Linked DNA regions of Nothobranchius furzeri. The protein of the gene in region 2 purifies or fractionates together with the protein of the main gene of each other region. This does not show direct contact. Links are inferred from orthologs where the notes say so. Each region holds a gene or a part of one and is shown on either strand. Other genes may lie near its edges. The genes, in order: mlst8, rapamycin-insensitive companion of mTOR and tubb5.

Region 1 (4,095 bases), on a different chromosome or scaffold from region 2:
CGGCTTTTAAAAATAATTTCGGCTGATACAAAAACAATTTAATACAACGGCCCGATAAATCGGCTGGCCTCTACTGGAAGCCCCAAGGTCAAAGAGGGTAACACCCCTAAGGTGGTTGAGAACGAGAGAGCCAAGCTCCTGTGGGACTTCCAGATCCAGACTGACAAAATGGTGATGGTGAACCAACTGGACATTGTGGTGGTGGACAAACAACAGAGGACAGCCGTTGTGGTTGATGTGGCAATACCAAGTGATGCAACATCAGGAAAATGGAACATAAGAAACTAGATTAGTACCAGGGCCTCAAAGAAGAACTTGAGAAAGCCTGGAGAGGGAAGACATCGCTGGTACTTGTGGTCATCGGGGCAGTAACCCCGAAACTGGAGGAGTAGCTAAAGCAGATCCCAGGAAAAACATCAGACATCTCAGTCCAGAAAAGAGCAGATCTAGGAACAGCTGAGATACTGCACAGAACTTTAAGCTCCCAGGCCTCTAGTAGAGGACCCGAGCTTGGAAGGATGAGACCACCCACAGAGGGTGAGATGGGAATTTGTTAAAGGATACACACCTGAGTTTTCCCTCAGAGAAAGAAGTTTTATTCAACTCAATATTAATTTCAGAGAAATAAAACACCAATCTGACCCTTGGTGATAAAAGTAACCCCCCTTGTTACACATCATCAACTAAAAGAGAATTAATCACGTTATTTGGACAACTGTAAGATTCCGATTTACTTCAATAGTGTGACACAAATTAGACACAAAAAAAAACCTCAAAAAGCAACTCGGTCTGCTCCATTCTACAGGGAAGTAATGGAACCCAGAACATCTAGTGTAAGGAGATGGATGGTCTGAGGGGGCACGTGCTCACACTTTACTCACAACCTCATCTCAGGAGTCTGGTCTGTAACAAACCAGAGCCTAATCTATGTGGCCTCTCCTCACATCAAGCTGCATGTTGGGGTTAAATATTCTAACCTTTCAGGACACGCGGGGTAAATATCACACAGGCTGGTTATAAACCACTTAGGATCCGATGTGGAAACGTAATAAATAATGTCAGAAAACCTGAGTTGATTCTGGTTCTTCCTGGGGGTGTGTGTGTGTGTCTTATCTCAGGTCCAGGCAAACAGAGGCTGGTCTACTTCTGCATCGACATCTGCTTCCCCAGCAACATCTGTGTATCCGTGTGCTTCTACTATCTGCCTGAGTGACTGTGTCCTTACAGCACGAAGATCAGCTGTTTCTGCTTCATCCGAGTGTTCCCCTTGAGCCTGACCCCTCCTGCTTCTGTCTGAAGAAAAGAAAACACAAATGTGTGTTTCTAAATCCTCCTTGTTGCTCTTTTCATGTGTGAAAACCTCTCTGGTGGCACGTTTCAGAGACCACAGAACAGCAATCCCCTTTTTTAGACACGAGGAGCATAATTATGTGTAACTGTACTGTCGTAGTCATGTTTTTATCTAATAAAAGGCTTACTGTAAGGATACTTCTTTAATCCTTTTATTACCAGCTTAGCGGTACATAAATGTGAAGTGTTTTCTACACGGAGAAGATGGATAAATATACAAATCTGTAAAAACACAAGATGAGTTTCTTAACGGAGCCATTTCTGTAAAGTTTCCAGCTAAAATATGCATTTGGCTCTTGAGTTTGTGAATTTGAACGTGTTGTGTTGCTTTGCTGATTGTTTGCTAGCGTGTGGCACCAAAACCTTGATTATTCTGGGAGGTTTTGTTAACCGTGTCCCAAACAACCACATCTGTGGCTCCTGTCAAAGCAGAGGAACGTCCCGTCCTCACAGTCCTTCTCTGAACGTTTTTGTCACTTCCTGTCTTTCTCAACCGAGCACGCTGTCGTTAAAAGCCAGACACACCACGGCCTTTTGGTGGCCGCTGTACTCCCTCTTGATCTCGCCCGTCTCCACACACCACAGACGGGCCAGGTTGTCTGAAGACGCTGTGGGAAAAACAAACAGGAATCAAAGTCTGCTTTAATGTGTTCAGCCCACTTTCTAACATGAACACATATTTATTTAAAAAGTATTGAAGCTGTTTGTTTTCTCACGTCATTTTGTTCATAAACTTACTGACCAGCAGAGGGCACTGCTTTCAGAAATGAACCCTTCACCGGCACAAGCGGACAAAAACCTTCATCTACCATCACTAACAAAGCTTAAGCACAGAGAGGAATAAGATTTTATTAAAGGTTTGGTTCACTTGTTTAATACATCTAAAGTGGTCTCTAGCAGGAAGGAAATCCTAGGACACTGTTTCATGTTCAGCCTGCATGATACACTCAAGAGTGACTGATTATGATCAGAAATAAGATTTTAAAAATGAGTTTTCAGTGAACCACACCTTTAATGGTTACGTATTATAATCTGTGATGGGAACGTTTAAAACAACGGGGTTACTAACAGATGTTAGTTTTTGCAGTAGTGACAAATCTACTTAATTACTGTCATTTTTCATAACGCCGTGTCCATTACTGATAAGAAAATGTGTGCGTTGCTATGATTCAGCAGAGCGGTGTGTTGAAGCTGTCATCAGCTGATTGGAAGATCAGCGCCTCACAGCCCGTGATGAACGAAGAAGACGTGATGAATGGTCTATGGCTACAGAACTGGTGACCCGCAGATTCGCTGCTGCAGGCGTGAACCTGCGCTGCGGTCTGCAGCTGTACCATTCTTCTATCTAGATGATCCAACTGGATCCGGTTCCTGATTATTTCTTTTGTTCCGCTGTACCACTGACTGTGTCAGTCTCAGACGTCATGGGTGCTCAGGTGCAACTAGAACTAAGTGTGTGTCTTTGCCACCCAGCTTCTTCTGTGTTTGGGTCTGACCCAAGTTAGTAAAGCTAAAGAGCAAGTCACCCCCGGCCAGACTCTTACTCCACTCCCACTTCCTGTTTGAAAAACACAACGAATGCTGTTGCCTGGCGGAGCCGCTAACAAATACAAACAGGTTCGCAACTGCACTGTGACATCACAATGTACCAGCTGACATCATAGTGTACATCTTAGCCAATAACGATGGCAGATTTAAATTCAAATGCAGTGCAGGGAACATTGAGTTTCAGGCAGAATATTTAAATGTTAACTAAGTCGCACTAAAGTGCCAAATTATTGACTGCATGTGTCTACAGCACGATTGGACACTCATTTATATAATTTATCAGCAAAAGAGTAGATTAGGGGGCGACTTGCTCTTTAAGACCTCCATCAGATTTGCGCCTTTTCTAGTGTCACTCTTGAGGATTTTATTGATAAATTTATTTAACCATTACTAGATTAGCAGCAACAGAAATGCTACTAAAAACACACAATTATGTAAAACTGGAAAAATTAGAATACTGTGCAAATTACATTTATTTCAGTAATTTAACTAGACTGAGAGACCATTTAAAGGTTCAGGAACCCTTTGCAGGTGTTTTCTATTTGCAATTATAAATGTTGTTGATTGGGGTCTTGTTCCACACATTTGAATAGTTTAGATTAGTGTAATGATTCCCGTTTGTAGTTCCTCCTGTTTATTTCAACTTTTCAGTTTCATAATAAACATTTGAACATACATTTTATTATGTTCAAATCTTATTAGTCATTTATATTTTAGTACTGTAGTAATTTACAGTAAATTAGGCTATTTTTATTAAGAAGGGAATCCCATTTTTCTTACATTCTTTTATTTAAAAAATAAAGTAGGAAAATACCAGTAGTTATTTTTCTTGGTAATTAGTTACTTTTATAATCTTGTACCTCAGTAACTGAGTTGCTTTTTTTAACAAAGTAATTAGTAACTGTAACAATTTACTTTATAAAAGTAACGTTCCCATGATTATAATGAACAATAAACCGTGTTTGTTTCCAAATGAACCCAGAATGTCGTTTACACCCCGTCCTCTACGGCAAACAGACCTGTAACGATGTACTGGGAGTCTCCAGAGAACGCACAGTCCCACATCCAACCCCGGGACGTCTCTCCTGGATTGTTGCTCTTGATGCTCAGCTCTGTCATCAGAGAGAAATTGGACGTTCTCCAGATCTTACAGGTCTGATCTGCTGAGCAGGTGGCCAGCAGTCTAGAGGTGAACAC
Region 2 (4,129 bases):
ATAAACATCCTTTGTCGTTGTTCTTCCTCTGCTGTTCAAAGTTTGACTGGACGTCTTTTGTCTGGTGTGTGTTCTGTGCCATCTTTTAGGTGGGAATTTTACTGACACACAAGCAAACTTCGGTACACCATCTTTGTGGTCATAATATCTACACCCTGGTATAACTTTCAGAAACATACAGATGTCATTTAGCATCACAAAGTTCCTGTGGCTAGAGAATGGTTGAAAACTACATTTCAACACTGTTTAGACAGATTACACAAACTGTGGATTTGGACCATCAGATCTGCAGTAGTACCTTAATGAAGTTGTTCAGGTGGCCCAGTTTTCGCATGTTACTGACTCCATGAGGTTTGGCCACATTTTGGAGAATTTCACGGAAGTTTTCAGATGGTTCTGCAAGGGAAAGAAGAAGAAAACAATGCAACGTAACAAAGTGTGAAGCCATACTGGTATAGTATCAGTAATTGATTCACTGCAGGAAGGAAGACGGTCCAGCTCATTTAGCGTGTACAGTCAAAACAAGACGCAATTAAAAGAGCAAGATGTGAGCAGGTCAGCATTTGGTTTGCACGTCCTTCCAATTTATATGTGCTGACCACAATGTTATTGACATAAGGAATGTGGCTGTAAAACAGAGAACTCTATTGGCAAGAAGGATTAATAACTTGACATTGAAATATTGTGAAACCCAGGAAAAGTTCCAGCAGCTCCAGACACTAAAAATACATCAGGATAACCACTTTACAGATTTATTCACATACACCAAGTCCACTAGAACAACTCCACAATAGCTTAGCAGGTTTCAGGACTTTGCAAACGGTTGATTTATTTTATGAATTAAAACAAACATGCACAATAAATCTATGAATTTCATGTTGTTTACTTTTCATTGAACTTTAAAAAACAGCAAACATGTACAACCAAATATCAAGAAAGAAAATATGTTATACAGACTCATCAGTTTGATTTGATGCCCATTCAAATATATATTTAAGTATCTTATATTAGAGGTGGATTTGAAAAAAAGAGCAATGACAATAACTTCAGATAATAATCCTTCATTTAGAGCACAGACTTAGTTTGGTTTCCCTATTTGTAACAATGCATTAGTAGAAAAGTGTACATGCAAATCATTTTAGAAGCATTGCATGGTGGTTTTTTTTTTATTTCAATTTCAGGGCAGGATAAGTGCCAACCATCCAGATTAATCAAAGCTAATCGCAATTGCTTTGTGTCTTTTAAAGATCATTTTAACCCATGACAAGTGTTATTTACGCATGCTTTGATTCTGTTGAACATTCTATTGTTTAACAGTTTGGAGTCAAGCAACCCAATCAATCTTAAAATCTATGATGTCAAGCGCTGAATACAAGTACAAAACAAAAAGTATAATCTATTGAGATTTGATATTTTTGTTTACTTTAATCACTTTCCTTTACCTATTAATAACTTAGTTCAAGAGATAGTGAAATTACTGTAAAAGCCTAGAAACAGCTACAAAAATAACAGTAGACTGTAGTTTGTTGTGTTTGTTGAAAGATCCTCACAAAGAAACAGTTTGCAAACTACAATTAAAAAAGTAACTCATAATTGAGCTTTCATGTCAGTTAGCACTCTCAGGTATCATGAAATCTCATTTATCTGTGCATTCTTCTAGTCTCCTGCTCATTTTGTATCATTGCTTTAAGTTTTTTAGGAAGATTTGCTGTTTTTGTATAAACTGTAACTTTCTCAAAATACTAAGCAAGAACATTGACTGCAAATTAGCCATAAGTAGAAGTTCTTTACACGGAAACTTGATATGAAACATGGCCTCTTTGTATTTTGGCCCTCAAGATATATATGTTTAAAACCTGCAGAGGAAAACTATCGTCACTGATATCTCATATGTTAAACGCCTCCAGCTCCTTATGTCAGCAGATACAACAAAATCCTGATGGATGATGCTGTTCACGAGTGTTCCGTGTAAACAAACCGGTGTTGTTGCTGGAGCAGTGTTTCTGACCCGGCTGAGAGGCTGTAGCTCAAGAACCAGCCTGTGCAGCCATATGTGCTACTTAGCAAACAGCCAGTACACCCAGTTCCTCGTGCAGTCAGTGATGACCGATGCATGAGCTGTCTGGCTGAATAACAGGCTCTGTATCCTACTAGCACCGATCAAAACAACAGCGCGTCGTCATGGCTGGTTAGCTGTGGCAGCTAATCCAGCTCGTTTGTTAGCTCGCTACCGCCCGTTGTTATGACTAGTTAGCAATGTTTTTACACGAAACAGAAAGGAAAACTGACTAAGTAAGAATTGCAAATAAAAATACATATGCACGTCATGGTTTGAGTTTCGTTTAATGGGGCAGTGTTTACAGCAAAGTGCCATGATGATCCATTTTGAAGAATAATCGCTGATTACCTCTGCTTAGATCCAGCGGTACGTTCTCCTCCCCGCTGTCATTCCGACCTGACAAAAACACACACAGTGTACACAAAAACACATCACTCCAAGCTCATCGCGTGTATGGGGTCTTCTATTTTGCAGATTCCCGCTGTTACACCTGTCATTGAACAGAGTTTTTTCAAGCTTACCTCGCATCCGAAGACTCCGTATAGGACGGCCGCGGAAGCTGGCCGCCATGTCTCCAGGAACATACAGTACACACAACACCGGAAACTTCGCGGAATCTCGCGACAATACACGCATCAAAGACGTCGTCTGCAAACTGGCTACGACAGACCCAGTATAAACTATATACGGTATTAATGTCGATGGACAGACCCAGCAGACCTGAGACTAGACCCCTCTGCTCAAAGTCCCTCTGTTGTTTGTGGATATAAAAACAGCAATCTGATCTGGGGACGGGGTTAATCACAATAATCAAATTTCACCACTAACCTCTTTTCATCCAAAAACACATGAAAGTAAAGTTGTTGTAGAGTTTATGACCATTTCAATCATGCCAGATTAAGACCATGACACTTTATTATTGTGGATTAGTATTATATATTTACACATTTTCTTTGACAATTGACTGCTTCTCTTTGATTAATTGATTAAACTAGTAAGGGTTGACTTAAGTAGTGTGATCTAATATTTATGAACAATCCAAACTGTTTTCTAAGCAAATGGTTCCCAATCTTTCAGCTTCAGACCCTCAAAGTAGCAATTGTCAAGACATGTGACCCACAAATATCTGATTTTAAACCATGCATAAAAGCTTAATAATTTAGGGCATAAGAAAACTGCTTCAGTTCATGTACAGTAATATACATTTATGACAATGTAGTTAAGGTTTGTAACAGTTATTATAAATAATATAGCTTCAGCAATCTTGGAAATTGTCTCAAGACCCCCCATGTGGTTCTTGGTGACCCACAGCAGGATCCCAACCCTAGCTTTGGAAACCACTGGATATTTTGCCCATGAAAGCCAAAACATTCCCAATTTATTTCACAAATACAACCTACTTTAATGCAACAAAGATATATTTAGCTATCTGGCAATGAAGTATTGCAAACTAGCCTAGTAATGTTCCCATTTTGCTTTCTTGATGCTATAAATTGTTAGGATGAACACATTTATTTTGGTTAAACTTGAAGGTTTCTAGCAGTTGCCACAACTTTTGCTGCATTACACCTAGGCTACAGTATGTTTACAAAAAGCAAAATGGCTGTTTTTTTTACTTGACTTAAAATGACTAAACTGCATAGTAACAGTCAACATGCAGTGTTAACCTGCTGAAGGTCTCTTCACAGAAACATGGCAGTTAAGTCTGCAAGTTAACGATGTGAAGGATATTTTTGCCCTTTAAATTGGTCGTATTTCTAACATGTGCAAAGTAGTATTCCTCACCAAATCAAAACTGCAATTTATAATTTGATTATAATAAAAACCATAACAATGGAAATTTTCCCACATCATTTGGAAACATATTTATCAGTGGAATAAAGTTTTCTTTGTTCTTCTTTCAACACTGACGGGAATAGAAGACAAAGAACAATGTGTGTACATTTGATGTCTAGACACAAGTTACTACAGTCAAATTAAATATTACATGCGTAACATCTTTAAACAGAGGATCAGAATCTGTAATTACAGATTTACGACATGTTCTTCAGTGACTCAAGTCAGTGTTTC
Region 3 (4,125 bases), on a different chromosome or scaffold from region 2:
ACTCTAATTAAAAACAGAACTTTTCAGGCACTATCACAAGGACGGGTCACCTTGGGGGAAGGCACCACGCTAAAGGTATTCATGATTCGGTCTGGGTACTCCTCACGAATCTTGCTGATGAGGAGGGTTCCCATTCCAGATCCAGTCCCACCTCCAAGAGAGTGGGTGAGCTGGAAGCCCTGCAGGCAGTCACAGCTCTCGGACTCTTTACGGACCACATCCAGGACCGAGTCCACCAACTCGGCCCCCTCTGTGTAGTGACCCTTGGCCCAGTTGTTTCCAGCACCACTCTGGCCTGTGGAAGAAGTGAGACTTTGTTTTCTAAGTTCATACAGATCACAGATATTGTAAAAGGATTTCTCTGGAAGACACTCACCAAAGACGAAATTGTCAGGTCTGAAGATTTGCCCAAAAGGTCCAGACCTCACAGAGTCCATGGTCCCGGGCTCCAAATCCACAAGAATGGCCCTGGGAACATATTTACCTCCTCCACAGGAAAGTGAACGGGAGAGCAGAAGGGAAAAGAGGAAACCGTAACATTTACATCGCAGCTTAGCAATGCAATGGACAAAAATATTATGGAACAGCACATCTTATGTCATGAAAAGCCTTTCAGGACGACGGTCTACCTGTGGCCTCGTTGTAGTAGACGCTGATCCTGTCCAGCTGCAAGTCGCTGTCTCCGTGGTACGTCCCAGTGGGATCGATGCCGTGCTCGTCGCTGATCACTTCCCAGAACTGCAGACAGGAATCACATGACGGGACTCATTTCACTTCTAAGCTACAGGCCTTTTGGGACTTTAAATGAGGATAACAGCAATGGGTTTGCATATTTATATTCTGGAGGATACGCTAGGATTCAAGCAGTTTCCTGCAGAGCAGCTGCAAATATTTCCAAAGCTGCCAGCTCATGACTCTGCAGAAAGCTATGCAACGCTTTCATATGTAAAACGTGAAGGAGGAGGAGCACAAAGGAGCCACTGATCACTCCGAAGGCCAAACTGAAAATGAAAAAGGCGTCTCACACAACACCGAGGACAATGAGGGCCTTTAAATTTGTATTCAAGTCCTGCTCCGGCTTTAAAAGCCCACGGAGCTCTGGGAGGCTGGGTACGCATTAAATCCACTAAGATACTGTAGGAAATCCTCTGCATGTCTGCATTTCCTGCTTTTTTACACATTCACTTAGATTTATGGTATTCAGCTGCAAAATGAGACTTTACAGCCTCCCGTTAACGCCGGCTGCACTGCAGACAAACGGCTGTGGAGTACAAATCTTGACATTTAAATGTCACGAGACGAGGGTGAGCGATGCTAGAGACGCAGAAGTGAGAAGACAGAAACTGATGGACGGCCCATCAGTGATGATGAAGATCACAGTGAAAGAATGAGGACAACGAGCAGGAAAAGCAAGGCCACACCCTGACCCATTTGACCACCGTGCAGCCGCTCAGCATCTCTGGCCGTCATAAATCCTGCACATCGGAGTCGATGAGCCCCCAGGGGACGGAAACAAACGAGTTGGCTCTCTGATAGACCACTCCTAGTAGTTTTAGCCGATCATACAGGCCAAAGCGGTGACCCGAACAAGGGAAAATGATTAACAGTACAAGCTTGATAAAAATATGTCTAATAAAATATAAAGGCCATCTGTTGTGTGCCTTTGGGAAGACAACTATTGCCCATTAAGGCCACTGGAAATGGAGACTTTGCGTCCGCTGTGCATCAGCTGTTTCCTCCATTCCTCCCCCACCCTTCTCTTAATTTGGTTAGGGGAGGAAAGATTCTGCTTTCCAGGACATCTCAGCCAGAAAGATCACCCTTCATTAATCCGGGCTAATGTTCATGGGTTCTTAATTCCAGGGCATGGATTTGAGCGTGTGCATGCGTTTACAAATGATCAGTTGTAAAACAAAAATAAGACAATAAGACAGCAGAAATAATGGGCCACCCAGACCTATTGTTGCAGACTGCGGCTGCTAAGAGACAGACTGGGCGGGTGATGTCATTGATGAACATTTTAGACTTTACTATTAAATGATGCAATGACAAATTATATCAGATGAATAGAATATTATAGTAAATAACACATAAGGGTGTTTTTTTGCAGAAAAAAGGAGAGAATGACTTGTCTTCTCACAATTATTCATGCCACACCCTTCCATCACGTCCCAATAGAATAGCTCACCCTGCAGTCTGCCTTTGCAGCCTGCAGAACTCAAATCTAATCAATATGTGCTATTGATTCATAGACATCTGGGGGTGGGGGGTAACTAGGCCTTTAATCCAGACTTCCACTCATTGTCTGAAACACCAGTCATATCAGCCTGGGCCAGACAAAGCAAGCAGAGTGAAGGCTCCACAGGCTGTGGGGGTCTGACATGAGAAGAAAAGAGTCATTTTCCCCTCTTTCCTTTGTCTTTTTCCCTAAATCAGTGCGTTGAGATGGGCTGAATCCTAGGAGCTGGGACGCAGACACACCCGGTGTTGTGTGCACTGCAGTGCTCACAAAGACTGGACCATTACTACTTTTTTATTTCATTACATATTTATGTAAATTTCTTTATCTTCATCAGTTAATAAATCCATATAACAGTAATTGTGAATGCTTTAGACAAAGTAACGCAAAAGTAACTCCTGTTTTATTCCACAGAAACATTTTATACAGATTTTCTGAGCTTACCTTGGCACCGATCTGGTTACCACACTGGCCGGCCTGGATGTGCACGATCTCCCTCATGATGGGTGCGAAGGTTTCACGGGAAAAAAGGTGCGATGTGATTAAAGTGGACGAGCACGAGCCGACTTGTGACAAGAGACCGGGGGGACAATGGATTTATAAGGCTGGAGCGTCTCCAGAGAGGGGCGCGGCCACGCCCACAACACGCTTCTGCACGCGCCGATTGGCCGAGAGGACCGGCAGGGGGAGGAGGAACGTGTCGGCTGCAGATCAGGGAGTGGGAATTGGAAAAGGAGATTGACCAGAATTTTACCAGCTGGTGTCCAGAAATATGCATTACAGCTGTTTTAGTGTCAGCCGGGGCTGATCATCGCTGCGACTGTGTGAGAAAACAGATGGCAGCAATTCCAGTGTGCAGTTGGGGCAGAATGACAGTTAGCTCCTTTAAACTCTGTCTTTTCTTTATTTTGATAATATACTGAAAACGTTGGTTAGACCAATAAAACAGTATGACTAGATCTGATTGGCTGATTGTGTGTATAGGTGGCACAGATGGGCCCCACAGAACAAAAATGTATAAGTTTGATTTGATGGGCAACTCTTTTTCCTACGTGTGTGTGTGTGTGTGTGTGTGTGTGTGTGTGTGTGATTGGTTGCTTGTCTTGTTTGTCTCCACTTGCATGTCTGTGATGGACTTGTGACCTGTCTACAGTGTCCCATTCCCCTTGCCTGCTCAGTTGTAACAGCTCCTCATGACCCTTACAGAAAAAGGGAGATACAAAAAAAATCAATGAATGGATTTTCTGCTTCACAATCATTCACAAAAACACAACTATCAGCATTATTCATCCATCCATCCATTTTCCATTGGGGGCAGCAGCCTAAGCAGGGAGGCCCAGACTTCCCTCTCCCTAGTCACTTGGGCCAGCTCTTCCAAGGGAATCCCAAGGTGAGAGACATATTCCCACCAGCATGTCCTGGGTCTTTCTTCGGTTCTCCTCCTGTTTGGACATGCCCGGAAAAACCTCACCAGGAAAACATCCAGGAAGCATCCTAACCAGATGCATGAGCTACTTCAACTGGCTCTTTTCAATGTGAAGGAGCAGCAGGTCTACTTCAAGCCCCTCCCAGATGACCGAGCTTGAGCTTCTCACCCTATCTCTAAGGAAGAGCCCAGCCACCCTGCAGAGAAAACTCATTTTGGCCGCTTGTAACCGCAATCTCATTCTTTCGGTCTCCAAAGCTTGTGACCATAAGTGAGAATTAGATCGACCGGTAAATATAGAGCTTCAACATTATTTGACAGAATTAATTACAATTAAACATTATCATCAACATCAAATTATAGTTATAGTTTTCCATCCACCGTGACTTGTTGTTTTAGGATTGATTTGATTTTTTTTATTTCTGTTCTTCATGTATGGACTGCAATGTGCAACAATTGT

The links.
Region 1: the proteins of rapamycin-insensitive companion of mTOR (region 2) and mlst8 purify together in Homo sapiens (affinity purification with western blotting; 14 studies listed by BioGRID and IntAct, with this or other methods). This does not show direct contact. The link is inferred for Nothobranchius furzeri from reciprocal best matches to the Homo sapiens genes RICTOR and MLST8.
Region 3: the proteins of rapamycin-insensitive companion of mTOR (region 2) and tubb5 purify together in Homo sapiens (affinity purification with mass spectrometry; 3 studies listed by BioGRID and IntAct, with this or other methods). This does not show direct contact. The link is inferred for Nothobranchius furzeri from reciprocal best matches to the Homo sapiens genes RICTOR and TUBB.

What each region holds. Positions count from the first base shown.
Region 1 is NC_091756.1:30,078,285-30,082,379, reverse strand, and holds the end of mlst8 (target of rapamycin complex subunit lst8), read right to left. Parts: intron 4,082-4,095; coding exon 3,918-4,081; intron 1,959-3,917; coding exon 1,840-1,958; 3' UTR 1,214-1,839; coding exon of another isoform or gene 1,119-1,213; 3' UTR 574-1,118; downstream 1-573. Other genes in the region: bricd5 (BRICHOS domain-containing protein 5), read left to right, coding at 1,119-1,213.
Region 2 is NC_091757.1:36,632,454-36,636,582, reverse strand, and holds the start of rapamycin-insensitive companion of mTOR, read right to left. Parts: upstream 2,923-4,129; 5' UTR 2,696-2,922; coding exon 2,581-2,695; intron 2,456-2,580; coding exon 2,408-2,455; intron 397-2,407; coding exon 299-396; intron 1-298. Other genes in the region: c17h5orf34 (uncharacterized protein C5orf34 homolog), read right to left, coding at 4,115-4,129. UniProt on the Homo sapiens protein: Component of the mechanistic target of rapamycin complex 2 (mTORC2), which transduces signals from growth factors to pathways involved in proliferation, cytoskeletal organization, lipogenesis and anabolic output.
Region 3 is NC_091745.1:74,453,547-74,457,671, reverse strand, and holds the start of tubb5 (tubulin beta-5 chain), read right to left. Parts: upstream 2,841-4,125; 5' UTR 2,741-2,840; coding exon 2,684-2,740; intron 739-2,683; coding exon 630-738; intron 488-629; coding exon 377-487; intron 296-376; coding exon 51-295; intron 1-50. UniProt on the Homo sapiens protein: Tubulin is the major constituent of microtubules, a cylinder consisting of laterally associated linear protofilaments composed of alpha- and beta-tubulin heterodimers.